2 linked regions of the Astyanax mexicanus genome follow. The protein of the gene in region 1 interacts with the protein of each later gene in a pairwise test. Links are inferred from orthologs where the notes say so. Each region holds a gene or a part of one and is shown on either strand. Other genes may lie near its edges.

The links.
Region 2: the proteins of ahcy (region 1) and ankrd40 interact in binary tests that used the Homo sapiens proteins (3 or more experiments, as listed by UniProt). The two-hybrid records come from large-scale screens. The link is inferred for Astyanax mexicanus from reciprocal best matches to the Homo sapiens genes AHCY and ANKRD40.

What each region holds. Positions count from the first base shown.
Region 1 is NC_064412.1:43,549,748-43,566,093, reverse strand, and holds the start of ahcy (adenosylhomocysteinase), read left to right. Parts: upstream 1-7,725; 5' UTR 7,726-7,852; coding exon 7,853-7,880; intron 7,881-12,127; coding exon 12,128-12,318; intron 12,319-13,088; coding exon 13,089-13,164; intron 13,165-16,346. UniProt on the Homo sapiens protein: Catalyzes the hydrolysis of S-adenosyl-L-homocysteine to form adenosine and homocysteine. Binds copper ions.
Region 2 is NC_064426.1:37,172,091-37,187,903, reverse strand, and holds the start of ankrd40 (ankyrin repeat domain-containing protein 40), read left to right. Parts: upstream 1-8,325; 5' UTR 8,326-8,672; coding exon 8,673-8,806; intron 8,807-10,235; coding exon 10,236-10,384; intron 10,385-10,515; coding exon 10,516-11,067; intron 11,068-12,469; coding exon 12,470-12,651; intron 12,652-14,608; coding exon 14,609-14,755; 3' UTR 14,756-15,813. Other genes in the region: tom1 (target of Myb protein 1), read left to right, coding at 1,602-1,641, 4,689-4,783.

The sequences.
Region 1 (16,346 bases):
TATATGGGTTTTACATTTTAAACTGAAGTACTGAAATAAAGTAACTTTTAAATGATATTCTAACTTTGTAAGATGCACCTGTATTGGCATCAAAAATTTGCCTCCCTACAGATTTTGTTGTTTTGATATTTTTCCAATTATCAATAAAAAGCATGTTGAAAAAGTGCTTGGCCTCTAAACCTAATAACTTGGTTGTGCCACCGATAACTGGCATGGAGTCTTTCACATTTCGGTAGAGGAAATTTAGCAGACTCTTTGGCCAGATGTAACTAGACACACACCTTCCAAAAAGTTTCATTTGTGTCATGTCAGTCCAAAGAATATTTACCCAAAGTCTTTTAGCAAATGTAAAATGGGCCATTGTGTTCTTTTTGGTCAGCAGTGTTTTTTTTGCCTTGGAACTCTCCCATGGAGACCATTTGCCCAGTATGTTTCATACTATTGAATCATTAACACTGACCTTAACTGAGGCAAATGAGACTTGCAGTTTTTAATGTTGATCTGGGTTCTTTTGTGACCTCCTGAATGAGTTGTCCATGCCCTTTTTGGAGTGATTTTAGTTGGCCTGCCACTCCTGGAACATTCAGTGTGAAACAGCTCTCAGGTGCCAATGACTTTGTTTCCTCATATGTTTTTCAATTAGTTTTTAATGTGTTGTTCTTTTAGCTGCTTCATTTTGTCAGACAGGTTCTATTTAAGTGATTTCTTAATTTTACAGGTCTGGCAGTAATCAGGCCTGGTTGTGGATAGTAAAATTGTACTCAGCTTTTCAAAACGTGTGATAAATCACAGTTCATTTATGTGGGGGCAAACACTTTTTCACAAAGGGCTAGATTGGTTTGGATAGTTGTTTTGGATAGTATATGACAGCAGGTTCCAGTTCCTGCCAATATCCAGCGACTTCACACAGCCATTGAAAAGGAGTGGACCAACAACCTGATCAACTCTACATAAAGGAGATGTGTTGCACTGCGAGAGGCAAGTATTGGTCACGGCAGATTTTTACAATACTGTAAAACTGTACATTTTAGAGTGGCCTTTTATTGTGGCCAGCCCAAGGTACACCTGTGTAATAATCACTGTGTCTAATCAGCATCTTGATGTGCCACACCTGTGACTGGTGGTTGGTTTATTTCAGCAAAGAGAAGTGCTCACTAACACAGATTTAGATCCAATTGTGAACAAAATATGAGAGAAAATTCCTTTTGTGTACATAGGAAAAGAACAAAACAAAATGTTGCATTTGTATTTTTGTTCAGTGTATTTACAGCAGTGATCACTGTAATAGCCCATAATGCATTGCGGTCACTAAAGCACTCTTGTTTCAGTTATAGTTGTGTTTACTGTTCTAATGTTATTGAGTTATGACTCAATTAACTCTTAGGGCCCTATTTTAGCAGACTAAAAACACACAAAAGGCATGTGCTAACTCTCTTAATTAACCATGGGTGTGTTTTGGGTGAAATGTGAAATAGACCAATTAGTGTGCCAGTTCTCATTCCCTTTAAGAAAGGTGCACTCTGACTTTGGCATGTTTGTATCTTAAACAGCAAGGTGCTTTGTGCGTCTCAGTGCCTGTGTGTTCGCGCTGTGAAGGTACACCAATTTATTTAAGGAAACAGCAATGTTACTTTATTCTTGAATCTGTTCATTGTTGAGTTTAAAGTCAGGTTTGCGCTCTGTAGCGTGACCACGTTTGTGTTTAACGAGCAGGGGCGTAGGCATGGGCGGCACACTTATAGGAATGGACTTTGACTGACGATTGACTGTTATCTAGGTTCTTTTCAGTCAGTGGCTCACCTGTGCTTTCCGCTGCCAAAATAGCAACATGCCAGAAATTTACCTGAACACACCTCATGAGCAGGAATGAGCATCATGGCGCACCTTGCATGATAGGGCTCCCAGTCTCCACTAAGCTTTGATCAGTCATAATGGTATGTCTGGTTTCACCCACCAAGTGCCAAGTGTATTTTTTATTGTAAAACTTGCTCTTAAATATTTTTTCTTTATATTTGAGTGATATTAAAGTGTCTCACAAAAGTAAGTACACCCCTCACATTTTTGTAAATATTATATTACATACCGCTTGTATTACAGGGTAAATTTGCTGTGCCCTCAAAATAACTTAACAGACAGCCAGCTATCAGTGCTGGCAGCACTCATACAGCCGCAGACCATAATGCTACCACTACCATGTTTGACAGTAGACAAGAGACAGTTTTCTTGGTGCTCCTAACCAGCATGTGAACATGTGGACTTCTTTGGTCAACCCTGGGGAGGCCTGCTTGGAGAGGAACCTGTCTGAAAACTTCTGTATGACCATGGCCATCATGCTGTATCTTAGTTTTAGGGTGTTATTAATCTTCTACTACCTTATGTCAACCTTTCATGATTTCTTTTTTTCCATGTTTGTCACTCCTAAATATTTCAGATCATCAAACAAATTTTGCACCCTAAACCTAATAACTGGTTGGGCCACCCTTAGCTGCAACTGCAATCAAGCGTTTGCAGTAATTTGCAATGAGTCTGTTACAGAAATGGAATTTTATTCTACTCCTTTTTGCAAAATTGTTGTATTTCCACCACACTGGAGGGTCTTCGAGCATAAGGTCATTTTAAGGTCATGCCACAGCACTTTGACTCGGCCACTCCAAATTGTTCCCTTTGTTTTTCTTCAGCCATTCAGAGGTGTACTTGCTAGTGTGTTTTGGGTCATTGTCCTGCTGCAGAACTCAAGTTCGTTTCAGCTTGAGGAAACAGATGACCGGACACTCTCCTTCAGGATTTTTTGATTTATCACAGCACCATGCTAACATCACCATATTTTATTATAGTAGGGTGACCAAACATCCGTATTTCCCGGGACATGTCCGTTTTTCACGTCCTGTCCCGGGCGGCCCGGGTTTTTTTCAAAAAGTGAGGAAATGTCCTGGTTTTTAAATTACCGTCATTGGACCATTAAATATACAGGCACTAGGGCACTGCGCACGGTGCTGCGTGTGACATAATCCCCAAGCCGCCTCAGTGAGAGCAGTAGACAGCGTGTCTGAGCACGCTGTGGTTCTCTGGAATCACATAAACTTATTTAACTTAGGTGTGATAAACCACAGTTAGGGCCATGTAGGTTAGGATTTTTTTTCTCCTTTTAATAATGAAAACCTACATTAAAAACTGCATTTTGTGTAAATGTGTTTGATGATCTGAAACATTTAAGAGTGACAAACACGCACAAGTATTTATTACACTGTATGTGTCAATACATGAATACAGTTTTCACTATATATGGCCATATATTTCATATATGACATATACTGTATTTACATATATCATATTGTAGTGTCTGGAGATTTCAACCATGCTCTCTTCTCATCATGTCTGCCCACTTACAGCCAGTTTATGGACTGCAAGATTAGAGAAAACAAGACACTAGATATGTTGTATGCCAATGTCAAAGAGACATATAAATCCACAGCTTTCCCTCCGCTGTGCTGTTTAGGCTATAATATGGTTCACTGACTCAAAGACAAGCAAACTTACATTTGTGGTATTTTTAGATTTTGAGTGAAAGACAAACACAAAGTATTGCATAAGTGTGAAGTGAAACGAAAATGATACATGGTTTTCAAAATTTGTATTAATTAGTGTGATGTGCAAAAATATTTTATATCAATACTTAGTAGAGCGACCATTTGCTGCAATTACAACTGTAAGTGCTTTGGGGTTTGGTTACCTGCTTTGCACATCTAGAGACTAGAGATTTTTGCCCATTCTTCTTTATAAAACAGCTCAAGCTCAACCAAGTTGGATGGAGAGCATCTGTGAACAGAAAATTTCATGTCTTGCTACAGAAGCTCAATGCGATTTAAGACTGAGCCATTCTAGCACTAATATTATTTGATCTAAACCACACTACTGTAGATGTGGCTGTATGTTTTGGGTTATTGTTTTGCTGGAAGGTGAATCTCGTTCTCAGTCTCAAGTCTTTTGTTGCCTTCAACAGGTTTCTTTCAGCTCCATCCATCTTCTCATCAACTCTGACCAGTTTCTGTGTCCCTGCTAAAGAAAAGCATCTCTACAGATTGATGGTGCAACCACCATGTTTTACAGTGGGGATGGTGTGTTCAGGGTGATGAGCACCCTGTTGAGTGTTACTTTTCCTCCCCATAGGGCGCTTTGCGCTTAGGCTAGACAATTCAACATTGGTCATATCTGACCACAGCACCTTCTTCCACATGTTTGCTGCATCTGCAAACAGTAATTCACATGTTTCTTTTAACAATGGCTTTCTTCTTGACACTCTTCCATAAAGGCCACATTTGTGGAGTGCATGACTTATGATAGCTGTCCTGTGAACAGATTCTCCCACCTGAGTTGTGAATTTTTGCAGCTCCTCCAAAGTGACCATGGGCCTCTTTACAGCTTCTCTGATCAGTGCTCTCCTTGCTTGATCTGTTAGTTTGGGTGAATGGTCGTGATTTGGTAGGTTTGCAGGTGGAGAATACTTTTCCTTTTTTTGGACGAGGGATTTTACAGTGCTCTTTGGGATGCTTAAAGCTTGGGATATGTTTTTAGAACCTTACCCTGCTTTAAACTGCTTCACAACTTTATCTCTTACCTGTCTGGTGAGTTCCTTAGTCTTCATGATTATTTTATTTACTAGCGTTCTCTAACAAACCACCACTTAGGCATAGACAGAACAGCTGTATTTATACTGAGACTAAATTACCAGAGGTGGAAAAAGTACTGAAAAATTGTAATTAAGTAAAACTTCCTTTACTTTGCTAAAATTCTACTCAAGTCAAAGTAAAAGTACCCATCTAAAAATCTACTCGAGTAAAAGTAAAAGTACTCAATTTAAAATGTACTTGTAATATAGTTACTTTTAATTATTTGATGTAAAAAAAAACTGTTGGTTGGCGCATGCGCTGTGCTGTAAAGAAGCACATATCAATGGGTAGCATAACTCGACAGTTCCCCCGGGTACAGTTGATTTTCACAGCATCTCTCCCGCTAACCATAATAAACACTGCTGGGAAAAGTTCAGCTGCGCTACCATGAAGAACAAAACTCTTTTTTTTTTTTTAAATGAAAATTAGTTTTTTCCCCCCAGCATTTTATTTTTTACTCAGTAATGTAATGTAGCGAAGTAATGTTGCAAAGTAAATTACTTGTGTCACAATGTAGTTGAGTAAAAGTAAAATTACCTATTTAAAAAAAAAATACAAATTACTCATAAAGTCTGTGTGGTTATAAGGTGACAAAATGTGAAAAACGTTCAAGGGGTATGAACATTTTTTTTGCAAGCCACTGTATTCTGGGGGGTTTATGTGTTGGGTTTTGTCTAATTCTTTTATTCTTCTGTTAAACAGAAAACTTCAAGTCCCATGAGTCACAGAGAGATCTAGCAGGCGGGTCTAAGAAAGGGTTGTTGTAGCATGACTGGACACAGTAATGCACTGTTAAAAAGAAACACGGCAGTTTCAATTTAAAGTTCAATTCAGTATAAAATCAACACACACCATACAGGTAAATCAGAGCAGCACATTTAGAGGCAGACTGCTCCAACTGCACCGTGTTAAAGAGCACCATGCCAGATCATTCCTACCAACTGCTTTACTGCATACTACTAGAGCCAGCACTGTTCCCTTACTGTCTAAATTGTTCTAAGGCACTACAATTCACCATACAAATGCCTAGATAACACACTGTACAAATTATTATAATCTACTATGTTACATCACAAAATACAGAGAATAGAAGAAACAGGGGTCATTATGATCATTTAACAGATCAAGTGTTTAATGTATTGCTCACTCAAATCATCTGTGTTCAAGCCCAGGAACTTGATCTCTTTAAGTTTCCCTTTAATCAAAATTACCTGACAACCTAATTAACATACTGTACGCAAATCTCTTAGTCCCATGTTTCATTCACAACAGAACATGGAACACATATCAGATGTTGAAATTGAACCATTTCACAATTTCATAAAAAGCTCAAATTGGGCAACAAAAGGCTGGAAAAGTAAGTGGTACTCTAAAAAAATCAATAGGAGAAATGTGCAACTAATAAAAAGACTTTTGATTATTCCACCATATACAGTTCATACTACCATGACAAGACTGACAAGGCTGATATTGGATAATAGTAATCTTTTCCATACACTCCACAAATGCAAGTTAAAGCTTTAAATAGTTTCTCAAGTTTTGATAAATCTGACAGTACAGTTTCTATCTTGCCTAGAGAGGCGGGCAGCCTTTCTGGATCCTATGGATCCATGGCTTTGTCTTTAACTTGCATTAATTGATTGCATGGTGAACTGTGTTCACAGTTTGTAATATACCGAAATATTTCTTTAATATTGCCCTTATATAAATATAAGTGTGTTGAAAAAAAAAACACTCTCTAATTTCGAAACAAGCAGGAACAGGAGCACACAAGGACGGAGAGTTCTGACCCACAGAGACCTGATATCAGTTGAATGGTCAAAGGTCTACAGTTGGGTTGTGTGGATCTGTTTGTTTCACTAATTATTTGCATTCTGGGAGCAGAGAGGAATGAAAGGACACTTGGTAATGTTTTACTGTTGTAATGTTTTAACTACTGCTGTTGTCAGTGTTTTTGAGACATCAGACATCAGAAATTTGAACTACAGACTGGATCACTCCATCCAATTTAACTAAAAAAAATAAAGAAAAAAGAAACATGAAATATAAAAAACATATATAATAAACTAGCCATCATCAGGCTGTCTTTTGGCTTTCTAAAAGGGGTGGTTATCCCAAGATGACAGAGTGGGCAGGAAATTCTTGGACACGTTTAAAACGTTTTATATTTCTAATTTTAAAAAGCTGAATATGAATATTTAAAATTAAACTTTTTTGGATTAGCTAGGTAGTTAGGCTACCTATTTTACTAATTAATCTGCCATCTATGTTAAAAGGTGTTAAAAGTAGATTATGAAGGACTTTGAGCTGCGAACTGGTACAGCATTCATGTCCTCAGTTATAGGATATATTCTGTGTCCAAGCTTCCTCATGTTCAATGCTAAATCTCTCCAATAAACTTTTACATAGCACATTAAAAGACTCCAATTTAAAAAAGTACCAAAACTATCCTGAGATATTATTAAATATCTCATGTTTGCCAAACATACCATGCAATACACCTAATTCTATCTTCCTCCTAAAATACAGGAAAGTTCTAGCCTTTATCTAAAAATATTGTTGTAATTACAATTAGTTAAACCCAGATAGCAAAGGGATCTTCAGTCAACGGTGAGTCAACATCCCTTTTCTATCTCTATAAGTTATTGACACCATTAGTATAAATATAGTTAAATTTTGCATTAATCTTACATTCATTATTTTATTTTTGTTTAAATATCCACTATATATATATATATCACTATGTGATATGTGTGTTTTTAACTGTTTGACACTACTACATTAATTGTCATTTTAGGTATTTTAAAAACCATTTTGGCCTTTTAACATGTAATTGTAGATATAATAAACTGCTCTTTTACTAGTCAGACTGTAAGTGCAGAGACCTCTCTTTTTTCTGGACAGTCATAAATTAATGCGAAGAAGTTTAAAATTTAATGGTACAGGATTTGACAAAACCCATCCACACCCACCACCCACGTAAGACATTTATTGGCCACCTCAGAGTGTGGATAAACCAATGAGCAAAAAGAGGCGTGGCGTCTGGGGGTGTGCTCTCATGAATATTCAGCGAAAGGCGGTAACAGATTCTTCAAGTTCCCGGTTCCGTTGCTCCCCTCTCTCTCTCTGTAGAAGTCAGTAAGCGGGACAGGACTTCGGTTCAGCGGCGAGAAAATCATCCAACAATGTCCGAGAAGCTGCCATTCAAAGTCGGTCAGTATTTGGAAATGCTTCGTAAACATGCACCTTTTGATTTCACTCCAAAAGCAACGGAGCTGTCTTTTAATCTGATCTGTCTCGGGCGCCAGAATGCAGCCGCTTCACCATTTAAGGTGGAACGGATTATTCTAATGTTAGTTGTGTTATTGTGAGGCTCGAATTGATTTATCATATCGAATTTAACCAATAATGAGTGTATTGTTCTACTCGCTAATATCTATATCGTTACAAACATTTCAGCTAGATAACTTTTGTAAAATACTAACAAATCCGGCTTTCTCTCTTCGCAACCCTGCACTTACCCAGCTACGTATTTATATTATTTTTAATTTAGACGCTACATATTACACTAAACACCTGCAGAAACACATTCAAAACGTGTGTGTGCACACTAAACGATGAGCCACTTCTCCAGAGAGCATGCTTTCATTTGCAGCAGTGCGGGGAACCCATGTTGGAAGTTGTAGTTCTTTGTGCACACAGTGACACTTCTTGCGGATCAGTCTCTCAGCCATAGGGAACTACATTTCCCATGAAGCTGTAATGCTGAACTCTTATTGTTTCTTCAAGTCTTGTCGGAAAACGCTTACGAGACGAGTGCACATAAACCCCACCACCACATTTGACCAGTGGGCAACTGGGATTTTTCATAAACCCCGAATGTACGCGTTGGGGGCGTGTCAATAAACAGCGCTGATTTAACAGCAGCTGCAGTCCGTTTTTATTGGTTTTTATCGTGGCACGTGAGAAAATCAAGTAACGTCAAAATCAAGTAACGTTACATATTACTACTTCTGGATCAAAATATCGCTTCCAAAATCCTCATACTTTGTTTTAGTTTGTATGTGTTTGCAGTTTTGTTATTAAAGTAGACGAGAAAATATATATTTTTTATCGTGTTAATGTTTTTTTCCCGACCAAAAAAACGTAAACTGTTTAAAGGAACTGTTGAACTGTTCAAGTCGGAGGTAGAGCTGAAGGCAGCATTAGCGGACAGTTTTGAAACCTTACTCAGAGTATTAATGGACACGTGGTTGAACTAAGACTGAACACATGTCGTGTTTCAGTCCCATGATAAGATGAAGGTGCTGTGCTGGCTGTATTGATTGTATCGATTACATCACCAGATCTTTTTCTATTAGAAGTCTGTGTCAAGCAACACTGAGATGAAAGAATGTGTAACTGGTTAATTTTTTTTGTTGGACTTTGTATGGCTGGATTGAGGGTCCAGAGATCAGCTTTCAGAAATAAGGTGACATTCTAAAAGTGTTGGGGACCTATTGTAATAATAATATTATGATTATTATTATTATGGGGTTGAAAGTTAAAGTTCTTAAAAGTGCGTGTAAAACTATTAACACTGGTAATATCGTGCTATTTTATGTGCATAGTGCACTACGCCTAATACAAATACACACACCTGGTCTGTGCCTTAGTTGCATTTTGCATATTTGTGGATGAGGAGAGGAACCGAGATGGGTCTCCGGTTTACTTTAAATCAGTTAAAGTCAGTTAAAGACACGCGTGTTTAAAAAAAAAAAGGCTCTTATGTGCGGCTCACGGCAGAGTCTTCTTTGTATGTGTTTTTCTGGGTGAACTGGTCTATGTACATTACAGCACCACCTCGCCACGAAGGTCGGAATTGCAATAGCTAGTTCACTGAGTGCAGCACTGTCTAAACATTAAAAAACACACGTTTTATCATTAGGTGGAGGCTGCCATCTTGTAATTCACTGTGATAATTAAACATGCTTTATATTTAATTGTAATTTTATATTATATTGCAAAATAATTTCTTTATCAATAAACATTATCAAAAATAACCTGAATAAACATAAAGCACTTTTCAAATTATGATTTTATTTATTAAAGGGGAAAAATATACATTCAAACCAATCTAGCCCTGTGTAAAAAAATGCCCCTAATAATAATTTAGTTGTGCCACCCATGGCAGCAACAACTGCAGTAAAGCTTTACCAATAACTGGCAATGAGTCTTTCACATCTTCTTCTTTACAGGATTGTTTTAATTCAGCCACATTGCATGGTTTTGAAGCATGATCAGCCTGTTTAAGATTATGTCACAACATCTCAGATTTTGACTAGCTGACTCGAAAACATTTTTGCAAACCAAACATTGTTGTTTTTTTTTGTACCATTCTGAGATGCATTTGTTTGTGTGCTTTCATTCTTTGTCCTGCTGCAAAACCCAAATACTGCAGAGCTTGAAATGACAAACAGATGGCTGCACATTCTTCTTAAGGATTGTCTGGTAAACAGCAGAATTCCTGGTTTCATATATTACAGCAAGTTGTCCAGCAGAGACCATCACACTACCACCATGTTTTACATTCAGTATAAAATTCTTGTTCTGAGATTATGTGGTAGTTTAACGGCACATGTTACAGGAGACACAATTTCTAAAAAGTTCAAATTTTGTCACATCAGTTCAAAGGCTGTTTACCCAAAGTCCTGGAGATCATCAAGGTGTTTGTTGGTAAATGTAAGATTGGACCATTGTGTTCTTCTTGGTCAGCAGTGTTTTTTGCCTTGTAACTCTCCCATAGAGACCATTTCATCCGGTCTCTTTTTTATTATTGAATAATTAACACTGACCTTAACTGAGGCAAGTTGTTCTGGGTTCTTTTGTGACCTCCTGGATGAATTGTCCATGCCCTTTTGGAATAATTTCTGCCACTCCTGGTTTCTCCATTTGTGAATAATGGCTCTCACTGTGGTCAATGACTGTTTTCTTATGTTTTTTCTTCAGTTGTGGCATAATGTGGTTTCTTGAGTCTACAGGTCTGACAGTAATCAGGCCTGGTTGTGGGTAAAGAAATGGACCTTTCCAGCTTTCAAAAAAGTGTGATTAATCATAGTTAATTTATATGGGTGGCTAGACTGGTTTGGATAGTTTTTTCCCTCAAATAAAATCATTTAAAAGTGTTTTTTTTATATTTACCCAGGTTATATTTGTCTGATTTATTAATCAGTCAATCTGAAAAATGTAAGTATGACAAAAATGCAAAAATAAAATAAATCTGTAATATTTCATGCACTATATATGTGTACATACATATATATATGTAGGTTTGCATTATCTTGTTTTATTTTATATATATATATATATATATATATATATATATATATATATATATATATATATATATATATATATATATATATATATATATATATATATATATATATATATTAATCCTGCTCAAAGCTTCAAGCCATATGATTGTTTTCATTGGATCAGTTACAACTTACAGCTGTTAGGTGGTGTAGGTGTAAATAGTTAGTAGCTACTAGCTCTAACATGTATACTAGTTTTTGTGGTGCAACCTGTTTTGATTTAGTAATGGGCAAGTGTGAATTTAGTATACAGTTACGTTACAACTAGACTAGGTTTGAACTTGCACACAACCCACCAGATGATGAAGGGGTGAGATGACTTGAAACTTAAGCTATGTAGAAGGTATTTATAGGACACTAGATGAGTCGGGGCTCAGGGCATGTTGCTCCTCCCATACTTAAGTTATTCCGTTTACTATTTAAATGGCTAGTTACCTATAGTGGAAATAAGGAATTTCTGATTACTGACTGAATCAGATGACTAAGTTGTCTGGAAATTCTTTTAAAATGCAACTTTGTTGTGCTCTCTGTCCAATATAAGTATGACTCCATTGTGTGAAAATAGCTATTGTAATTTAAAATGTTGTAGTTGCATAATTGTGCTTCTCTTACCAATATTTGTCCTTAACCAATCATAAATATACAAAATGCATTTAGTGAAGATGACCTAAGTTGCCAATGTCATGACCCTAAAACAAGTGCACAAACAAATACAACACGTATTTTAAAAAGCAAAAAAGCATGTTGTCTGTAGTCTTCTTTTACTCAAGTAAGGATATTCTCCTCAACGACAGACTTCTAGCACCTATAGGTCTTGTAACTTATTGAAGGAGAGAAAACGTCAGTAGTGAGATGTCATTAATAACATTAGCTAGACTGAAGAACATTAGAAATGCTCCAAAGGAGAATTTGAAAGTAAATAATAATTTGCTCAAAGAATATAAACTCTGAATTCTGCACAGTCCTAAATTATATCTTTTAACTTCACTTTGAATGTCTGCAAATTATTTATTTTTCCATTCTGTGATTCAGTCTGTGTTGGCCATACTTTTCAGACTTCAACAGACTATCTCTCCTTTATGGTTCTTTTGTGTGTGTATGCAGCTGATATAAGCCTGGCTGAGTGGGGGAGGAAGGCAATTGACATTGCGGAGAATGAGATGCCGGGGCTGATGAAGATGAGGGAGGTTTATGGACCAACCAAACCTCTGAAAGGAGCTCGTATTGCCGGCTGTCTACACATGACCCTTCAGACCGCTGTCCTGATCGAAACCCTCACTGCACTCGGAGCCGAGGTGAGCGCTAATCCTGATCATAATATTGACCTGGTTTATAGATTTTAGAGTTGTAAACCCCCAGAGAGCCTTACCCAGAGACCTCTTTATAATTAGTTTTAAAATTATATTAATGTTGGGCTTAAAACAGACACGTAAACCATAATAAACAGCTGCTCACCACTTACAGGCTCTCAAGACTAGCGGGTATACAATCCACACTGTAATACATTGATTACTCTTAAGATGTTTTATATATTTAATAGGTGACCTATATTCAAATGTCTAACATACCCGTCATTCTGAAACAACCTATAAACCCTAAAAAAGAGTTTTGTATATGTGTTTCTGGCTGATTAATGTTGACAACACAGATTCCCTATTGAGTCAATTTAATAGAAACTTTTAAAGTATCTTTAATAGATACTTTCTCAGTGTTGCAAAGTGAAGTTTAGGCTCATGGCAGAATAAATTATTAGCTCTGTGTTCTGAAACTGTAATTATATTTAATAGGTAATGGTTTGTGTTAATTTCTGAGTGAGTGACTAGGAGTGAAACTATTAAGGATCTGCTGGTATGTTATGAAAATCATGAGAGGAGTCTCTTTGTTACTCTTTTCATTGGTTTCCCTGTGGAACTGGGATTTTCCAGCCTCAGTGCTGTGCTGGTTTATCAGTAACAGACTTCTCATAAATGAGCAAGCATGTAAGAGAGCAGGAGCCTGAAGTTGCAACTGAATTTAAAAACTGACAGACTTAAGCTGATTTTATATGTTTACCCCTCCTCTTCAGGTCCAGTGGTCCAGCTGTAACATCTTCTCCACTCAGGATCATGCTGCTGCAGCCATTGCTAAGACCGGTGTCCCAGGTGGGTGTGGGGGTGTGGGTGTTTAGGTGTGTTCGTTCATCCAGACAAACTCTCTAAAATGGACTCTAGTGATGGGACAATACCATTTTTTTTTTTTATTTTTTTTTTTTTTAGGGAAAAGTCTTATCTTAATAGCATATTAAATTATACTACTTTTCAATTTAGTCAGTTTTATCAATTATTTATATTTATAAATAATTATCATTTATTTATTTCTATTTGTTTTTTGAGGATATTTATTTATTTAGACTTAGATTAGACTTCATTTATTGTCATTCTTAATACACTCCTGTATGCAGAATTAAATTTCGTTGAATTGACTCGCAAAAATACAGAGAAAAATAAATACATTTAGCAGCATGAATATTAAGTATAGATATATCACATAGATACACAATGTACATCTTCAAATATATACACACCTCTATGATAGAATCATAAATATCTATAAATAAAGTGACTTGTGCAGTTAGAAATATGTAAAGTGTGAAAAAGTAAATAACTAGTACTCAGAGTTTTCTTAAATTGACCAAGGTTTTAGGAGTTTAGGAGTAACATTCTAATAGCTTGGGGGAAAAAACTGTTACAGAACCTGGTGGTCCTGCACCGCATACTCCTGTATCTTTTTCCAGAAGCCAGCAGGGAAAACAGACCATAGTGAGGATGTGAGGGGTCACTGATGATGTGCGCTCGTGATATGCAGCGTACTAATGCAAGGTCCTGGATGGGGGGGAAGAGAAGTCCCAACGATTTTCTCCGCTGTCCTCACCACTCTCCTCATATTCTTCCAGTCAGAGGCGCAACAGCCTCCACACCACACAGAGATGCAGCTCGTCAAAATGCTCTCTATGGTGCTTCTGTAGAATGTAATGAAGATAGGCGGGGGCAGGTGGTTTTTTTTTTTTTTTTTTTTTTTTTTTTTTATATCCTGGAAGTGCAGGCGCTGTTGGGCCCTCTTGACCAGTGACATGGTGTTTACAGACCAGGTGAGGTTGTCTGTGATGTGCACCCCTAGGAACTTTACGCTGCTGACCACCTCCACAGCCATGGTGTTAATAAAGAGAGGAGTATGGCTGGGCTGGTTCTTCCTGAAGTCGATGATGATCTCCTTTGTTTTATCCACATTCAGGATCAAGTTGTTAGCACTGCACCAACCCACCAGCAGGTCGACTTCCTCTCTGTAGGCTAGGTCGTTGTCATCTTTGATGAGACCCACCACTGTAGTGTCGTCTGCGAACTTCACAATGTGATTAGTGGCAGACCTAGGGACACAGTCATGAGTCATCAAAGTGAACAGCAGGGGGCTCAGTACACATCCCTGAGGTTGAGGTTGACGGTGCATTGTGTCGGTACTTAAAATAGGTTGGAGAAAGCTTTCTAAAAATTACTAGATGTTCTCACTGTTTACAAATGTCTTTTGCTTGCTTGTGGTTGTACTTAAACCACAAATGGGAAATTTAAGTGAAAACAAAATAAATAAACTTTTTTAACCATTTCTTTATCATCTGTAGTTTGATTTTCAGTAGGGGGAAAAAATGGATGAAAATTAAAAAAATAGATTTTTTTTAATCGTAGATGTTTTTTGGGCCATATCGCCAAGCTCTACTTTTAGTCTGGGCGTCAAAATGTCTTAATTGTTATTGTCCAAGTATATGGTATTACCAGTATATGGTAAGCCTGGCAGCCTATGAAGTTTGATCAAAGCTTCCTCAGTGCAGTTGCAAGAAAATATGTGAACCCTTTGGGATTACTTGGATTTCTGTAAGAATTGGTAATTAAATATGTTCTAATCTTCATCAATAGACAAACAGTCTTCTTAAACTAATACCACACAAAAATCTATCTTTGCATGGTTTTATTGAGCATAACATGGTAACATTCGCAGTGCAGTACTGGCTAAATATTCTGTGGATAAATAAAACCAAAATTTAGTTGTTTTTGAAGGAGAACACAATGCTATGTGTGGAGGAAAAAAGGCACAGCACACCATCAACACCTCATCCCTGTAAAATATGGTGGAGGGGTCATCAGAGTAGTCTGTTTGATTCTAGCATGTTTTATCTATAACTTTAAGGGGGGAGGGTGGTGTAAGGATATCTTGATCACTGAAATTCTACCTGCAAGTGAGCCCTTTAGCTCCAGGGATAGAGGTTCACATGAAACTTATGCATTAAGGTATCACAATTTTCTTTTGTTACCTTTGATAAAGAAGGATACATTTTGATTCCCAAATAATTGAATGAGGGACTGATGACCATTGATGGGGCAACTGTATTAACCTGGCTGGATAATTTTACATCATGAGAGCTGTTTGAAAACCTTTGCAACTGCCAAGAAACACTTTAGCATCCAAAAATACTGTACAGCAATGCCTTACTCAACACCTTGCACCTTATGAACCAACAGCTAGACCAGGGGTTTCCAATCCCTTTTACAGGAGAGTCACTTTCCTGCAGATTTCTACACCCAAAGACACATCCCAATTAGCCAAACTTGGACATTCTTTAGATAAATTATGTGCTGTGAATTTAGGTTAGATCTGCAGTCAGCCGGGAATAGCATGGGAAACCTTTGTGAAGGGTACTAATTGACCAGGTTGAAATGGTCTGTCTAGTGAACTGTCCTTGTGTTCGAAAGTAACATATGTGTTATTTTTCCAGTGTTGGTTTTTACTTAAAGATGCATTATGTAAGACCTGAGAGCGAGTGTGTGAAATGGCTACAGCAGTCCAATTTCAATCGGTGAGTGAGCCCCGCGCCCGGCGAGGCTATGCCCCCCGCTCGGCGAGTGAGCCCCACATGAGAGACAGCTCGTCCCTAGTAAGCACATCTAATGGTGGTGATAAAGAACCTGACTGAATTAGCTAGCCAGTTAGCTTACCTGTTCAGGATAAAAGTAGCAGCTCTGGGTTGATCTTGTAGTTTATTTGAGCTCTAAGTCTCTACCGTTCAAACTCACTGCCAATATTCACACTTGTTATATTCCTGCTTTTGTCACTGAGCTTTTTGAGACATGCTGAGGCTTTTTAAGCTGTGTAGCAGCTGAGGTGTAAAACTGAACCAGCTCTGCTAGCTAAGCTCCTTTGCTGCAGCGCCGATCGCTGTAGTATAGTGTTGCGTGCTGGCAACCTCGGGGGTGGAGTTAGCGTTGGGGAACGAGCAGCAGAAGGAATCAGAGATAAA
Region 2 (15,813 bases), on another chromosome or scaffold:
GATTAGTAACAAGCATGAAACCCTTTGATGTAATGCTTGAATATGAATTCTAAAGATATAGGCAAAAATTGACAAAAATGCCTAGGTAATAAAGGTTTGAGTAAATGTACCGTATTTTTCGGACTATAAGGCGCACCGTATTATAAGACGCACTATCAAAGAACGCCTATTTTCTGCTATTTTTCCATACATAGGGCGCATCGCATTATAAGGCGCGTTAAGTGACACTAGAAAGGGTGCCTATATCAAAGTGAACAGGGGTGGCGCCATGTTTCCCTTCCCCCACCGGGGGTGGTCGCTTGCCGGTGGAGCGTCTCAGTATATATAAATCTAGCTCTTTCAAAGTCAAACGAGTGCTGGATATTAATCTACACAGATTCCTCTCCTGAAAACTGTTTATTTGGGTGAGTAACGTGCTTCAGTTTATTTACAGTAAGCTTAGATTTCCAGATGTCCACTAAGGCTTGCTGCACCAGCGTTAGCATAGCTATCCGCTAGCACGCTAGCTAGTCACCTAAACTAGTAAAGTTAACCCAAACTTAAACGACAGCGTTACACTGAGTAATCCTGCGTGTTCTGGTAAGACAGTGAGATATTAGCTAGCGATTCGTCCCCCGTAGCTTGTTTTAACACGGTAAACAAGCAGATTACAGGCTGATAAAACTCACCTCTGAGAGAGTTAGCGCTTAGCATCTAGCTAATGCTAGCCAGGCAAAGCAGCACAGACTTACAGGCCGATAACTCACCTCTGAACGGTGAACGCTTAGCGATTAGCATCTAACTCTAATAATACTGCTCCAGCAGTATTAAAAGTGCTAAATTTAGAAAATACTGATCTCTGAACAGTGAAAAAGCTAGCTAGCTAAGCGGTTAGCATCTAGCTAATGCTATTGCTGCTCTGCACGGAGTGTGTGTTTACTGCTCCTTACACCTGACGGGTAAAATTTAGATAATACTGATCTCTGAACAGTGAATAAGCTAGCTAATGCTATTTGCTGCTCCAGCCTCGGAGCTGCACGGCTCTGGACTCTGTATAGCACTGAAACTCTGTATAACGCTGCACGGAGTGTGTGTTTACTGCTCCTTACAACCTGACGAGTAAAATTTAGATAATACTGATCTCAGTGAATAAGCTAGCTAGCTTAGCGGTTAGCATCTAGCTAATGCTATTGCTGCTCAGCCTCGGAGCTGCACGGCTCTGGACTCTGTATAGCACTGAAACTCTCTATAACGCTGCACGGAGTGTGTGTTTACTGCTCCTTACAACCTGACGAGTAAAATCCATACAAAAGGCGCACCGTATTATAAGACGCACTGTCAATTTTTGTGAAAATTAAAAGTTTTTAAGTGCGCCTTATAGTCCGAAAAATACGGTAGTTATCAAGCAATTTAGTTAGATGCTGGTTTACCACCGGATGTTTGGAATTCCATAGTTTTTGCTAACAGGAAATGAGGGGGAGCGTAAATGTTCTGCCATGGGATCAGTCCTGAAGATGTGATTTCAGATTGTGTTAATTTCTCTTTACTCATGGGTTTTGTGGTGTGTGTACTCTGGAAGAACCGAAACATTATTTCTGTTTTTTTTTTTCTCTGTGGTGCAGGATGACGAACTGGCAGATTCTGAAGGTGTGACTAGTGAAGGTAGAGCCCATCCTTTTTTCTACTGCACTTTTCTGTATTGTATTTAAACCGGAGGAACCGTAGTATACAATAATTAATCTCTAGACCAGCGGTGCACAACTCCAGACCTGGAGGGCTGGTCTCCAGCACCTCCTTAATTAAGTGGTGATTAACTGAGGAGTTGAATCAGGTGTGGTTGAGTAGGCCAACTTAGAAACTTACACAGCCCTCCAGGAGCTGTGCACTCTGTTTAGGATTAAGCTTTAATGCTGTATATGATGCCAGTATGATGCTAAGACTTTATACAGTAAGTAAATTAATTAATAATTGATGAATTACAGAATAATAAGCTTTTTTTGAGAATAGCACGGAACAACTGCATTTATTATGGTATTATAGTACCATTGCATAGTTAACTAAATGTCAGCTTAACGTAACATATTAAAAAAACATATTTTATTGTATTAATCCCAGAATCATTCAAAATCATTGCGTTTTTTTTTTGCATTATGATGTGATATCCTCAAAAAATGCAACAAAAAAAAAAACATGTATTTGCTCATATTAACATTTTAAAATATATCCTTGCCATTTGGGATCAGCAGGACCCAATTAGTAAAAACAAAATTAGCTTTGTACAGAAAGTAAATAACATAGTTTCAAATATAAAATTCTATGACATTAGAATTTTATGTGTCTGTCTGGACTGGCTGTAGAAACTTTTGACTGGGATTCCCGCCATCTTGTTTTCAATCACTTAACTATAATGTTGTCATGTGACCACTAGATAGTGCAGGCGGTGTCTCCATATTAATCTAAAGGGTCAACCTTTTAAAAAATTAAGTATACTGGTGTAGAGAAGCAGAAATGTAATGTCCTCGTATGAGGACGCTGGGTCTCAAGAGGATATTTATATATTTTTTTTAAACCTTTCTGTTACCTTCAATTTTACTACTATCTTTTATTCTTGGGTCAATTTGACACCAGCAATTTTAATCTCCTGAAAATTCTTATATAATAATTTAAATTGTTACACAAGTTTATGTCACATGCTATATTTGTTTGTTGACTACTTAAATATCCTTTAAAAAAACGTTTACTTAGATGTTATTTTCAGTTAAGAGAGCAGAGAGACAGAGCACTAGGAGAAATGGTTTAGAAGGCTGCACTAAACCTTCTATATGTCTGCACTACCACTTATGTATGAATTATGAATTATGTATTCCCCGCCCCCTGTTGTGTGAACTGTCGTGTTTCTCGCACTTTTCCAGTTGTGGTGATGTCAGGTTAGGGCTGTAAAGTTTTTCAAAGATTATAAGATTGCATGTCATAGTGATTTTTTCAACATTTTAAAGCGAAAGTGTGTAAATTTTGCTGATTTAAAAAAAAAAGTTTTATACAGCTAAAACTGCCTGGGCTCAAACAGAACCCATTAAACATTGAAGTGTGCAAAATGTGTACAGGATACTGGAAACATGTCATCATGTTCATTTTATATTTACCCAGTTGGCCTCATTAAATTAATATAAAAAAGTCACTAAATATGAGAAAAAAATCAGAGCAATCATTTATTTAAAGAAGTTAAACTGCTATTATTGAAAGATAATAGCAGGGTTAACCCATCCTCCCTCAATGTAAACTACATTACTGCTTTGCATAGAAACTGGCAGTAATATCAAATTTTTGCATAGGCTACAGACTGTACTCGCTTTGTGTTTTAGATTGTTGTTTTTCAAGCCTGGTGTGGCGGCTTATTGCCCTGCACATTTTGGTGCTAGTCATCTGATTAGTTGGATCCGGTGTGTTGGGAGCAGTAAAAACTCCAGAACCATGGTTGAGAAACACTGTTTTAGATCACATTCACACAGCAGGCAGAAGTGGCATAAAACAGAGAGGTGTTATATACAGGGGTTGGACAATGAAACTGAAACACCTGCCATTTTAGTGTGGGAGGTTTCATGGCTAAATTGGAGCAGCCTGGTGTTCAATCTTCATTAATTGCACATTATTGTGCCAGTAAGAGCAGAGTGTGAAGGTTTAATTAGCAGGGTAAGAGCACAGCTCTGCTTTAAATATTCCAATGCACACAACATTATGGGTGACATACCAGAGTTCAAAAGAGGACAAATTGTTGGTGCACGTCTTGCTGGAGCATCTGTGACCAAGACAGCAAGTCTTTGTGATGCATCAAGAGCCACGGTATCCAAGGTAATGTCAGCATACCACCAAGAATACCAACCACATCCAACAGGATTAACTGTGGACGCTGTAAGAGGAAGCTGTCTGAAAGGGATGTTCGGGTGCTAACCCGGATTGTATCCAAAAATCATAAAACCAGATGTGCACCAGAACTGTCCGTCAGGACAATAAATTATTGTGGTCTAAAACCAGGTGTTTTAGTTTCATTGTCCAACCCCTGTATATGGCTGAAAATACACTGAATCTGACATCATCCAATTTGCAATAATGCGGCTTTGTCTGGACAGCTAGATTTGAAATCAGTTTGATCTTTAAATTAAGGACAAAGCAAAAGTGTGCTTAAGTACACAGGAGAAGAATGACAGCAGTAAATGAGGTTTTCAGAGGTGTGATAATGAGGTAACATCCCAATATTTGGGGCAATATCTCTGTTTAAACTTAATTCGACGGCTTGTGTTGCAACACCGCCATATTTCTGAAGAAATGTCTGAATGTGGCGTGTCTGAGAGAGATAAAAAGCCTGTAAAATAAAGTTTAAAGGGGGCAAGGATGCAAATCAAACAATGTGCCCTTTTTACAGTGAGCTGAAGCAAATTCTCAGTCTTCATCCCAAGCTGCAGCCACTGGAACTCCTCGATCGCTCCTGTGATGCTGAAGAAAGTGAAAATGAAACCGAAACTTCACGTGAAGCGCATCTCTTTAGCCCAGTTTAAATGAATGTAGGATACAAGTCACAGTAAATGCTTGTGTTAACAGCCTAAAACATTGGCAAACATTGAATTTGTTGAGAAAATCTTAACTTTGCTGTGTGAACAAAGCCTAACATCATCAGAAATAAATCATTCTCATTCTCTTTGTCTCTCTTGCAGAGTTTGACCGATTCTTGGCCGAGAGAGTGAAAGCAGCAGAGCGCCTTCCTTCTGTGAAAGCATCGTCTCCTGACCACACGCCCTCAAAATCATAGTAACTGCAGGGATAAGGTTACAAACAAGTATGACTGGTAGTATAACATTGCTCATAATAAAGGTTTTCTCTTGTGTATAGTTCTGTAGCAAAGGACCATGTTACATACAGCTCTGGAAAAAAATAAGAGACCACTTAAAAATGATGAGTTTCTTTCATTTTACCAAATTGAAAAACTCTGGAATATAATCAAGAGGAAGATTGATGATCACAAGCCATCAAACCAAACTGAACTGCTTGATTTTTTGCATCAGGAGTAAATGCATAAAGTTATCCAAAAGCAGTGTGTAAGACTGGTGGAGGAGACCATGATGCCAAGATGCATGAAAACTGTGATTAAAAACCAGGGTTATTGCACCTAATATTAAGGTCTGAAAGCTCTGCATCTTTTTTGTTATTTCAGACCTTTCTCAATTTCTGCTAATAAATGCTCTAAATGACAATATTTTTATTTGGAATTTGAGAGAAATGTTGTCTGTAGTTTATAGAATAAAACAACAACGTTAATTTTACTCAAACATAAACCTATAAATAGCAAAATTATAAATAGCAGACAAACTGATTCAGAAACAAAAGTGGTCTCTTAATTTGTTTCAGAGCTGTATATTATGCATCATGTATTGAGTAGCTTCACAAAGGTTTGTTACGATAATCTTAATTCACAGTTCATGACAGTTTTCTTAACACCAGTAATCTTAGTTTCCCTGTCGTTGATGACAAATAAGGTTTTAGGTGTTTTTTAATTATGGGTTTAAGATGATTATAATTTAGCTAATATTTTAAAAACATAAAATTTATTTTATCCAGCTTATTCTGTGTGATGACAAGGAGGGTCCATGTTTATTTGATTTGTGTCAAATCCTCCGGTGCAGCAGCCACAGACGCAGCTTCCCTTATACTAGTGCATCTAAAAATGTTTGAATATCAATAAAAAGTGACTTTATTTCAGTAATTTAGTTCAAAATGTGAAACTCATATATTATATAGATGTATTAAACACAGATTGATCTATTTTAAGCATTTATTTCTTTTATTGTTGATGATTATGGCTTACAGCCAATGAAAACCCAAAAATCAATGTCTCAGAAAATCTGAATATTATATAAGACCAATTGGTACTTTTGTCAGTGTGGGCAGTGTGCCAAGTCCTGCTAGAAAATGAAATCCACATCTGCATAAAAGTTGTCAGCAGCAGAGGGATAATGTAAGGCTGTAAGATTTTGTGGGAAAACAAAACTGCACTGACTTTAGACTTGATAATAAAACACAGTGGATCAACACCAGCAGATGACAGACATGCCTCTCCAAACCATCACTGATAATCAGTACATTTTACATTTCATTTGTAAATCAAGGGAGCAGAGTCAAGGGATCAAGTCTAAAGTCAGTGCAGTTTTGTTTTCCCACAAAATCTTACAGCACTTCATGCTTCCCTCTGCTGCTGACAACTTTTATGGAGATAAAAGCGGATTTCATTTTCCAGCAGGACTTGGCACACTGCCCACACTGCCAACCAAAAGTACCAATTGGTCTTATATAATATTCTAATTTTCACTATTTTTTGGGTTTTCATTGGCTGTGAGCCATAATCATCAACAATAAAAGAAATATGCGCTTAATATAGATCACTCTGTGTGTTTAATACATCTAAATAATATATGAGTTTAACATTTTGAACTGAATTACTGAAATAAATTAATAGCAATTAATATGAATTACTATGACCGGATATTCTAACACAAATGCAGAAGAAACAAACTCTTGGCAGAATAAGGTGGATAGACAAGAGGTGCTGCACAATAGTATATAGTTTTACATGACAATATGCCATTCTCTGCTTTACCAGATTGTTATACAGTTAATATTTTTGCCATGAGCACTTTAATGGAGTAATGTTAGCTGGAACTGCTTGTACTCACACTTTTTTGACAGACATTTTATTGTATTTTTCATAATAAACACTAATAAACAGTGGCTATCAGAAGTGAAGTGGGCTGTAAGTTTCTGTTGTGGTTAAAAGAGAAAATGTCTAGTTTGTTTTGTCTGTATTAAAGTCAGCATTCACTGCAAATGGTCTTACTTGATTTCTTATTTTATATTTATGTAATATGTAACATTATCAAACTACACTGTATGAACATATATCACAGATTTTCTGTTGTAGTACTCACATCTAAATGTATAACACTGTGTTGATCCATTTTCTAGATTTACACATTTATAACCAATACAAATCACATCACTCAAAACACTTCAGAAGATGGTCTGAGACGCATTAAAACAGGTACAAATCTGATCACTAAAGAGACACATTTGAGAATATTGTATATCATCCCAAACTGACAAACAGAACCTGAATGAAGTCCAGCAGAGGGCGGTAACATTGCATTTTAAACGCCATTCCTGTTACTGTGCTTTTTATAAAGGATTTCTTTCTGGGAGTTGCACGTGTTTATTGTTTTGTTCTGTTGCTAAACTTCCTACTGCATTGTTTTTGTCACTGGTCCAGTTCCTATATGAAGCCGTTTTATCTGTATTCTTTTGTTCTTTGTTATAAATGAACATAACACTGTTCGTAAAATCTAAGAATTTTATTATTATTATTATTATTATTATTATTATTATTATTATTATTATTATTATTATAGATTTTATTATTATTATTATTATTATTATTATTATTATCATCTAGTGATACATTATTACTTAAATAAAATATAATATATTAGAAAATAGCTAGCTAGTTATGACAGGATATTCTAGTTATAACTTAGGACTTAATAACAACAACAATAATAATAGTTGTTATTATTATTTTTTATTATTAATAATAGTATTATTGTTAATATTGTTGTTATTATTATTACTGTTATTATTATTAATAATATGATTATTATGATTTATATTGTGTTATTATTATTATTATTATTATCATCATCTAGTGATAAATTATTACTTAAATAAAATATAATACATTAAAAAATAGCTAGCTAGTTATGACAGGTTATGCTAGTTATAAATTAGGACTTAAAAACCACAACAATAATAATAATAATAGTTGTTAATATTATTTTTATTATTATTATTAATATTATTGTTAATATTGTTGTTATAATAATAATAACGATAATAATAATAATAATAATAATAATAATAATAATAATAATAACATTATTTAATGATACATTATTACTTAAATAAACTAGAATACATTACAAAATAGGTAGCTAGTTATGACAGGTAGCTAATGCAAGTTATAAATTAGGACTTTATTATTATTATTATTATTATTATTATTATTATTATACTAATACATAATTACTAAAATAAAATAAAGAGCTATTTACGACAGTTAGTTAATGCTTGTAAATAAAACAGGAAATGAGTATCTGAGATAAATACAATATCGGGAGGATATCGGCCTTTTATTGAAATTTAACTTTAAAATATGTCGTAAAAAAGAGCAGTTTGTTTTTTTTAGCTTAAGAGCTTCAGTTTAGTAGAGGAGTCTAGATAGGAACCCAGTGTAGCGGCTCGTGTTGTCACACTGTAAAGTGACCCCCATAATGGGCAGAGCCGACAGGGGTCTGAGCGAGTGCGGGGAGGGTAATAATAATTAGCCTGCTGCTGAAACAGCCGAAATAAAGTTATAACTGGAGGATAGTTTGAGTAATAAACAGCGCCGCGGTCGCCTGAAGGGTTTAGTAGGGGCGCTTATGGGTTTAATTTGGGTTTATTAGCTAATATAGCTGTTAGCTAACTATCCCGGCTAGCTAATTTGATGAGGGCTCGGTGGGAAAGCCCAGCTAAGCTAAGCTAAGCTAGCTTCAGCCGCCGGTTCACTAAATCTCCCCCGTTCTTATGAAAGTTAATCGCTAACTATCTGAATTATGTCCACCTCGTCTTTAGACAGAGAGCTGCAGGAGCGGCTGAGAGAGGCGAGCGCTATCGGAGACATTGATGAAGTGCGGAATCTGGTGGAGAGCGGCGTCAACATCAACTCTCAGAACGAAATCAACGGCTGGTAGGTGTTAAATAAGCTGTTATTCTGCTTTAAAATGCAGTTTAATGTGTTTAAATGGCTTTATCTGGTGCTGTAGACATTATAGACCAGGTTACACTATTATCCAGCACTGTTGTATTTGTCTTTAAACAGGAAATACACTGTAAATCCTCAGCTCCACCCTAGCAGGCTAGCTCTGTGGCTAACATAGCTATAGTCGTTTTAATTATACAACTGACACAAGCTGTAATCAAGTTTAAACTGGTAATAAGTCTTATTTCTAGTGTTTACTGGTTAATATCAGCTGAAATGATAGTCCATTCTGCCTAGACCAGTTTCACATATCCTTATTTCCTTAAATGAATATTGACTAGTTACTATTCATTTGCATCGCATTTCTCTCTCTTTTTAATCTATAATTAAATTTTTACTACTATTTGCTCTAGTTATAGATTACATATCAAATTACTTCTTTTGCAAGTAGCGACTTTTGTTCCATATACAGCTCTGGAAACAAATTAAGGGACCACTTCAGTTTCTGAATCAGTTTATAGTGATATATTTGAGTAAAATGAACATTGATGTTTTATTCTATTCCTAATAAAAATATTGTCATTTAGAGCATTTGTTTGCAGAAAATGAGAAATGGCTGAAATAACAAAAAAGACACAGAGCTTTCAGACCTCAAATAATGCAAAAAAAAAAAAAACAAGTACATATTCATAAAGTTTTAAGAGTTCAGAAATCAATATTTGGTGGAATAACCCTTGTTTTAAGTTTTCATGCATCTTGGCATGTTCTCCTTCAAAATTCAAGCAGTTCAGCTTGGTTTGATGGTTTGTGATCATCCATCTTCCTCTTTATTATATTCCAGAGGCTTACAATTTGGTAAAATCAAAGAAACTCATATATGTTGTCTCTTATTTTTTCCAGAGCTGTATATAAGTGATTCTCTTTTACATAACAATTTCATATTTTATTGGTTATTTTTAAGTGACGCTCAAGCTATTGTTTCCTTTACATTTAATTTTGCAGTGTAGGTATCTTGAAGTACACTTTCTACAAGTCAAAAAAGTAACCTGTAACTAATAAAAAAAAATTATGAGAGTGAAATTACATGCAACTCAATGGTAATTCTGACTAGTGAACATTCCACTAAGATTACATTTATAGATCTGAGTCCTGACTGGCTGTGGTGGCTTGTGATCCCTGGAAGCTAGCAATAGACACAGCTTTGGGTTATCCAATTAAGCAGCTTGCCAACATTTGCTTAAATCCACCTTATACAACTAAAGAGTGAACAGGCTTTATTCTATCCAGTGCTTGTTTGCGGCAGGTTTGTGTAGAGTTTAGCTATTTTTTTATTTTTCTATTTTAGCTAGTTGTCTACTTCTTTATGTAACCCTTACTTGACTTTTTATTATTTTATTTTTTTTTCCTTTAAACCTAGGACGTGCCTACATTGGGCATGCAAGCGAAACCACAAGCACATAGTGGCTTATCTTCTGAACTCTGGAGCCGACAAAGAAATACTCACTGCGAAAGATGAGTTAGCTGTTCAATTAACCTCCAAACCTGAAATCAGAAGACTTCTTGGAGGTACGTATATATACACAAATGTCAAGATTTCAGTTTTTACAGTTTTACAGTTGCTATGCTTTTCTTTTCATGCTATGCATTTTTTTTTGTCTAAGCTGACACAATCCACTCTCGTCTTTCTCTCTCCACAGTGGAGGAGGAGGATGTGCCTGAGGTAAAAGAGCCAGAGCTGCCAATCATTCCGAACTATCTCTCCAACCCGCCCTTCCTGTACAGCAAGATGGATAAGGAGGAACTAAACTTACCACCACATGTTTCTCAGAATGGCACCGCTGACCATTCGGAGGTTGTAGACTCTGAGCCAGCCACTCTCTCTCCCACACAAGAGCAGCAGCAGCAGCCGCCCCAGAGCCAGCCGGCGGTGTCCTACATCTCTGTGGTGGAGCAGAACGGCATTGTGTCAAGCCCGGTGGTGAATGGACCCCTCTCCATGGAAGTGTCACCTGAGGCGCACCACAGCAACCACAGTGAATACACCCACAATCACACAATTTCCCAGAATGGCCCCGTGTGCCCCCCGCTACCCTCGCCAGGTGCGGCCCCTAGTCAGGCGCCCGTCTCTAACCCCACGGTGACACGACAGCAGTCTCTGCCCCAGCAGCTGAACTGCTCGCAGTCTGGAGGCTCCATGCCTGCTTTCCAGCCCTTCTTCTTCACCGGCACCTTTCCAGTCAACGTGCAGGGTATGTGATGGGTTGGGGAGTCTTTTCGACTATTTGTCCACTGCAAGTTTAAATGGTAACGAAGGCCAGGTTACAGTTTCTTTTTCCATTTTACTTTGTTGCTAAATCTAATCTTTACTCAGGGTAGAAATGTGAGATATCAGTTAGCATGCTAACCTGCAAAATGGAAGATTCTAACCAAATGCCAATGGAGAAGTTTTAGCATTAACGACTGCAACACTTCTAAATCAGTAGCATGCCGGGTGCAAGTGTCTTCCATCATTGCTATTTCAGTGTTAACTAACGCAGCACTACTATGCCAGCTACAGCAGTCATCCAGTACTGCTATATTAGTGTTAGCATCCCGTATAATCACAAGCCTTATCTAGTATTCCTAATAAACTCATCCAGTTTCACTACCAAACCATTAGCACGCTGGCTACAGGTATCTTCCAACATTGCTACTTCAGTGTTAGCTTGTTTTCTACCGGTGTCATCTTACATCGCTACCAGACTCGTACAGCACCACTACCGCAGCACTAGTATGCCAGCTACAGGTATCATTCAGTATTGCTTGACCCATCCACTTTTACTACCAAAGTATCTACTGGCCTCATTTCACATCTCTACCAGTTGTTTTGAACAACACCACCGTAGCACTAGTATGCCAGCTACAGGGATCATCCAGTATTGCTAGCTTAGTGTTAGCATCTTGGCTACAGGCCTAATCCCATATAATTTAATGGCCTTGTCTATTTTTTTTCTACTACCCTGACTACCCAGTGCCCGAGTAGGGAAGGGGGGCCCATGAAAATCCAGATTTTTATTCCGCTCATGTTCCTTGTGTACTGAGACCAATAGGGGCCCACTGACATTGAGAGTGTACAGGGCCCATAATTTGTTGCTACACCCCTGTTCCTACTAGACTCATCCAGTTTCACTACCAAAGCATTAGCACGCTGGCTACAGGGTGTCCAGCATCACTACCACTGTGTTGGCACATTGCACTAGCAACCTTATCCAAAATCACTACTGCAGTTTTAGCATATGCACTGCAGTTGTCTTCCAGCATTGCTGTCTTAGTGTTAGCATGTTGGCTACCAACATCGCTACTGCAGCACTAGCACACCAGCTACCACATTGTTAGCACGTTGCCTAGCAACCCTTATCCAGCTCTGATGCTGGCCTCATCCATCATCGCTACTGCAGTGCCCGCACGCTAGCTAAAAGTTGTCCAGCATCACTACCACAGTGTTAGCACACTGACAACAGGCCTCATCCTACAATGCTATTACTAATCGCCTGCAGCCAAGTTTTTAACCTTTTGCCTTTTAAACTAGAACTATGCTATCTATTTTGAACCGATGATGCTTTAGTGCTGCTGTTAGTTAGTGATTAACTCGAGCACCCTCTTCTCCATCAGAGCTGGTCCTGAAGGTGCGTATCCAGAATCCTCATGCCAGAGAAAACGACTTTATCGAAGTGGAGCTAGACCGACAGGAATTGACATACCGGGCACTGCTGCGTGTCTGCTGTCGTGAGCTGGACATTAGTGCTGAACATGTGGAGAAGATTCGCAAGCTTCCCAACACCATGCTTAGAAAGGTATGTTGTTGCTTTTCTACTTTTTCCTTGGAAGAGACTCAACTCTTAGGGTGTACCCTTTCAAGCTACACAAATCTGGTATTGAGAAGTCAGGTGTCTAAAAGTTTTCCATCTCCAGATTGGCTGCTGTCACCCTGTATGATATTATGTGCATGTGGAGTCCAAATTCTTCCACAGAAAGCCACATTCTGATGACTTAAGCATCATCAGGCCTGGAATGTTAAGCACAATGTGAGAATGTGAGGAAATGGGGAAGGCTAAATTCGCTCAGAGTCAGGGTACAAGTCAACCCTTTATTATGATTATGGTGTGGTTATTTACATATTAGATGTATTGTAGTTCTTATATATTCCGTAATTGGTTTGTCACACTAAAGTACACAAACTAAAGCACATAAAATAGTAATTGCTGAGGCTTTCATGAATCCAGGAACAAAAATTAATAATTAAAGGCCAAATTAGTTCCCCTAACATTGAAATTTCATTCCATGTTTATTTGTTGGAATTCTAAGACAGTCAGTGTGAGTGTCAGTGTGTTGAAATGAGCTGTAATACTAAAGTCCAACAGCAGAATTGATACATTGGACATTGGCCTTTGTCATATATTTAATTGGTGTATACTGCCATAATGTAGCTGGAATGGAATAAGGCCAGTAAAGGCCAATGTAATGCTTAAGACGTATTACTGTACATTTTGCAGCAGTTCCTTGTCTGACACAAATATTACACAATGCAAAACTCCCTTTTTCCTAAAAATGGTAGATAATGTTGAATCGCTATCTTGTAGCATTGAATGTCTAGTCCAGGGGTGTCCAAACTTTTTTGTTGGGGACCAGAGGAAGAAATAAATATGAAGTCACGGGCCACAGACAAATAATGAAATAAACCACTTTAAATAATACTTTTTTCCTGATTATTTCATTTAAACACCATTTTACGTGACTTACTATCTTTTTCTTTGACAGTGTTGTGTAAACTAAGATTTTTCAAATTGATGTTTAATTTCATGATGTCTCTTAATATAAAACTCCTTAATTACGGCAACTTGTAGACCATCATAATGTAGCTGGAATGGAATAAGGCTAGTAAAGGCCAATTTAATTCTTAAGTAGTATTACTGTACTTTTAGTTTCACACACATTTTGCAGCAGTTCCTTGTAATCTTTGTATGTGTTGTTTTATTAAAGCACCTTTTGCTTCTTTGTACAAAATAACAGATTATGCAGATTATGAACAATGGAAGAGTTTCATTCCAACTTTTTTTTATTTTATTACACATAAATTACACAATGCAAAATCATTTTTCCCTAAAAATGGTAGATTATGTTGAATTGCTATCTTGTATTGTATTGCATTGAGTTTCTAGTGTGTAAAATCTGCTCTCGAAAACAAAACGGAATTAGCAAATTACATTTTTAGTAATTTTAGTAATTTTATTTTTTATTACACAGACATTACACAATACAAAACTTCTTTCCCCCCTAAAAATGGTAGATAATATTAAATTGCTATCTTGTAGCATTTCATTTCTAGTGTGTAAAATCCACTCTCTAAAACCAAAAGGAATTATGTATTACAATATTTTTAACTTTTCAAGTCTAAATTCTACAAAAGCAGTCCAAAAGCAGAATTGTCACATTGCCTTAGCCACATATTTATTTGTAGACTGTCATCATTTTGCTAGAATGGAATATGGCCAGTAAAGAGTATATGTTTTTATGAACACATCTTATTCATGCTGAAACTCTATATATCTATGCACATCTATGTACTGCCAAGCACTCATGGAATCCAGATAGGCTAGACCAGCAATCAGCAAGATGTTATCAGTGGTCACATGCCAGCCTGCTTTGTAAAGGTACAATAGTCCTTCAACAGCTCTGTTACATTCACCACACAGCTAATAATGCTCTACTTTTGTCTTGTTTTTGTGTTTTTGCTTGGTGTTGACTTTGCAGGACAAAGACGTGGCTCGGCTACAGGATTTCCAGGAGCTGGAGGTCGTGTTGGAGAAGGCGGAGGGGTTGTCCCTGTACTCTGGTGGCCCAGGTGGACTGACGGATAGGCCCTGCTACAACATGAAAGCCTCCAGGCTGACTTACTAGCTCCCAAACCCAGCTGCAAACCCAGAAACAGACTGGCTCTCTCCCTATCCGGGATTCTAGCCCTAAAAGCCCAACTTTATAGCTGTGTTTAGTTCTAAAGTCCTGCAGTCAGATATATCCTTCTTCTGTTTTCTGTTTCCTCCCTTACACCACATTATCCATATGCCATACCCCCTCCAAACCACATCACAAAAAAATGCCTGTGGACGTTGCTCATGCATGGTCCTGTGGTGCCATTCATATAACTCTGTGAGGAGAGGAGCTCCTGTGTAACATAGTTAGTTTGTTATCTGTAACAGTTAACAGTTATACTGGTTTGAGCAGGAATCTTTCACGGATCATGTGGCCATCATGCTTCAGCCGCCATTATTTTTATTTATTTATTTATTTTTTTTTTAAATACTTCTTCTAATATAATTTTTCTTGAGTGCAAACCCATATGCTCATAAATCCTCCTCTTGGGCTTTGATTGTTTGCTGAATTGCTGTGTGGGCTTATCAGGCCACTGTGTGGTTTTAGTACAGCTCACTTAAAACAGGCAGACCTGAACTGTACCAGCACTTCTTGTTAGGGATTTTATTCTGTTTACTCCTAACTGTGCTGTGGTTCTCTGTTCTCTTTCTGGACGCACCCTGTCTTGCATGATGTAGATCTCTGAAGTTCTGTAGTTTTTAATATGCCTACATTTGGTACTCTGGGTTTAATGTTTAATGATTTTCAGTAGCAGGAATGAATGGGGTTTTAAAAACATCACCCCTTTTCTAGTTAATATGTTCTGTTCTGTGTTTATTTTTCTTCTAAATATCACTGGATCCGCTCCTCATCACTATAACCAGTACGTGTAGACGAGTGGTATTAGCATATTTCATTCAAGAATCATATGTTTATTTAATGTGCTACTTTATTGGTCAACCACTGTATTCATTGGCTGTCCAGTTCATGAGTTAAACTCCTCATCCAGCTTACTTACCTGTATAAGGACCAGCTTAGATTAAAGCAGGCAGTTTCCCCAAAAGAAACTGATGTTGGTTTGGATAATCGTCATCAAGGAAGGATAG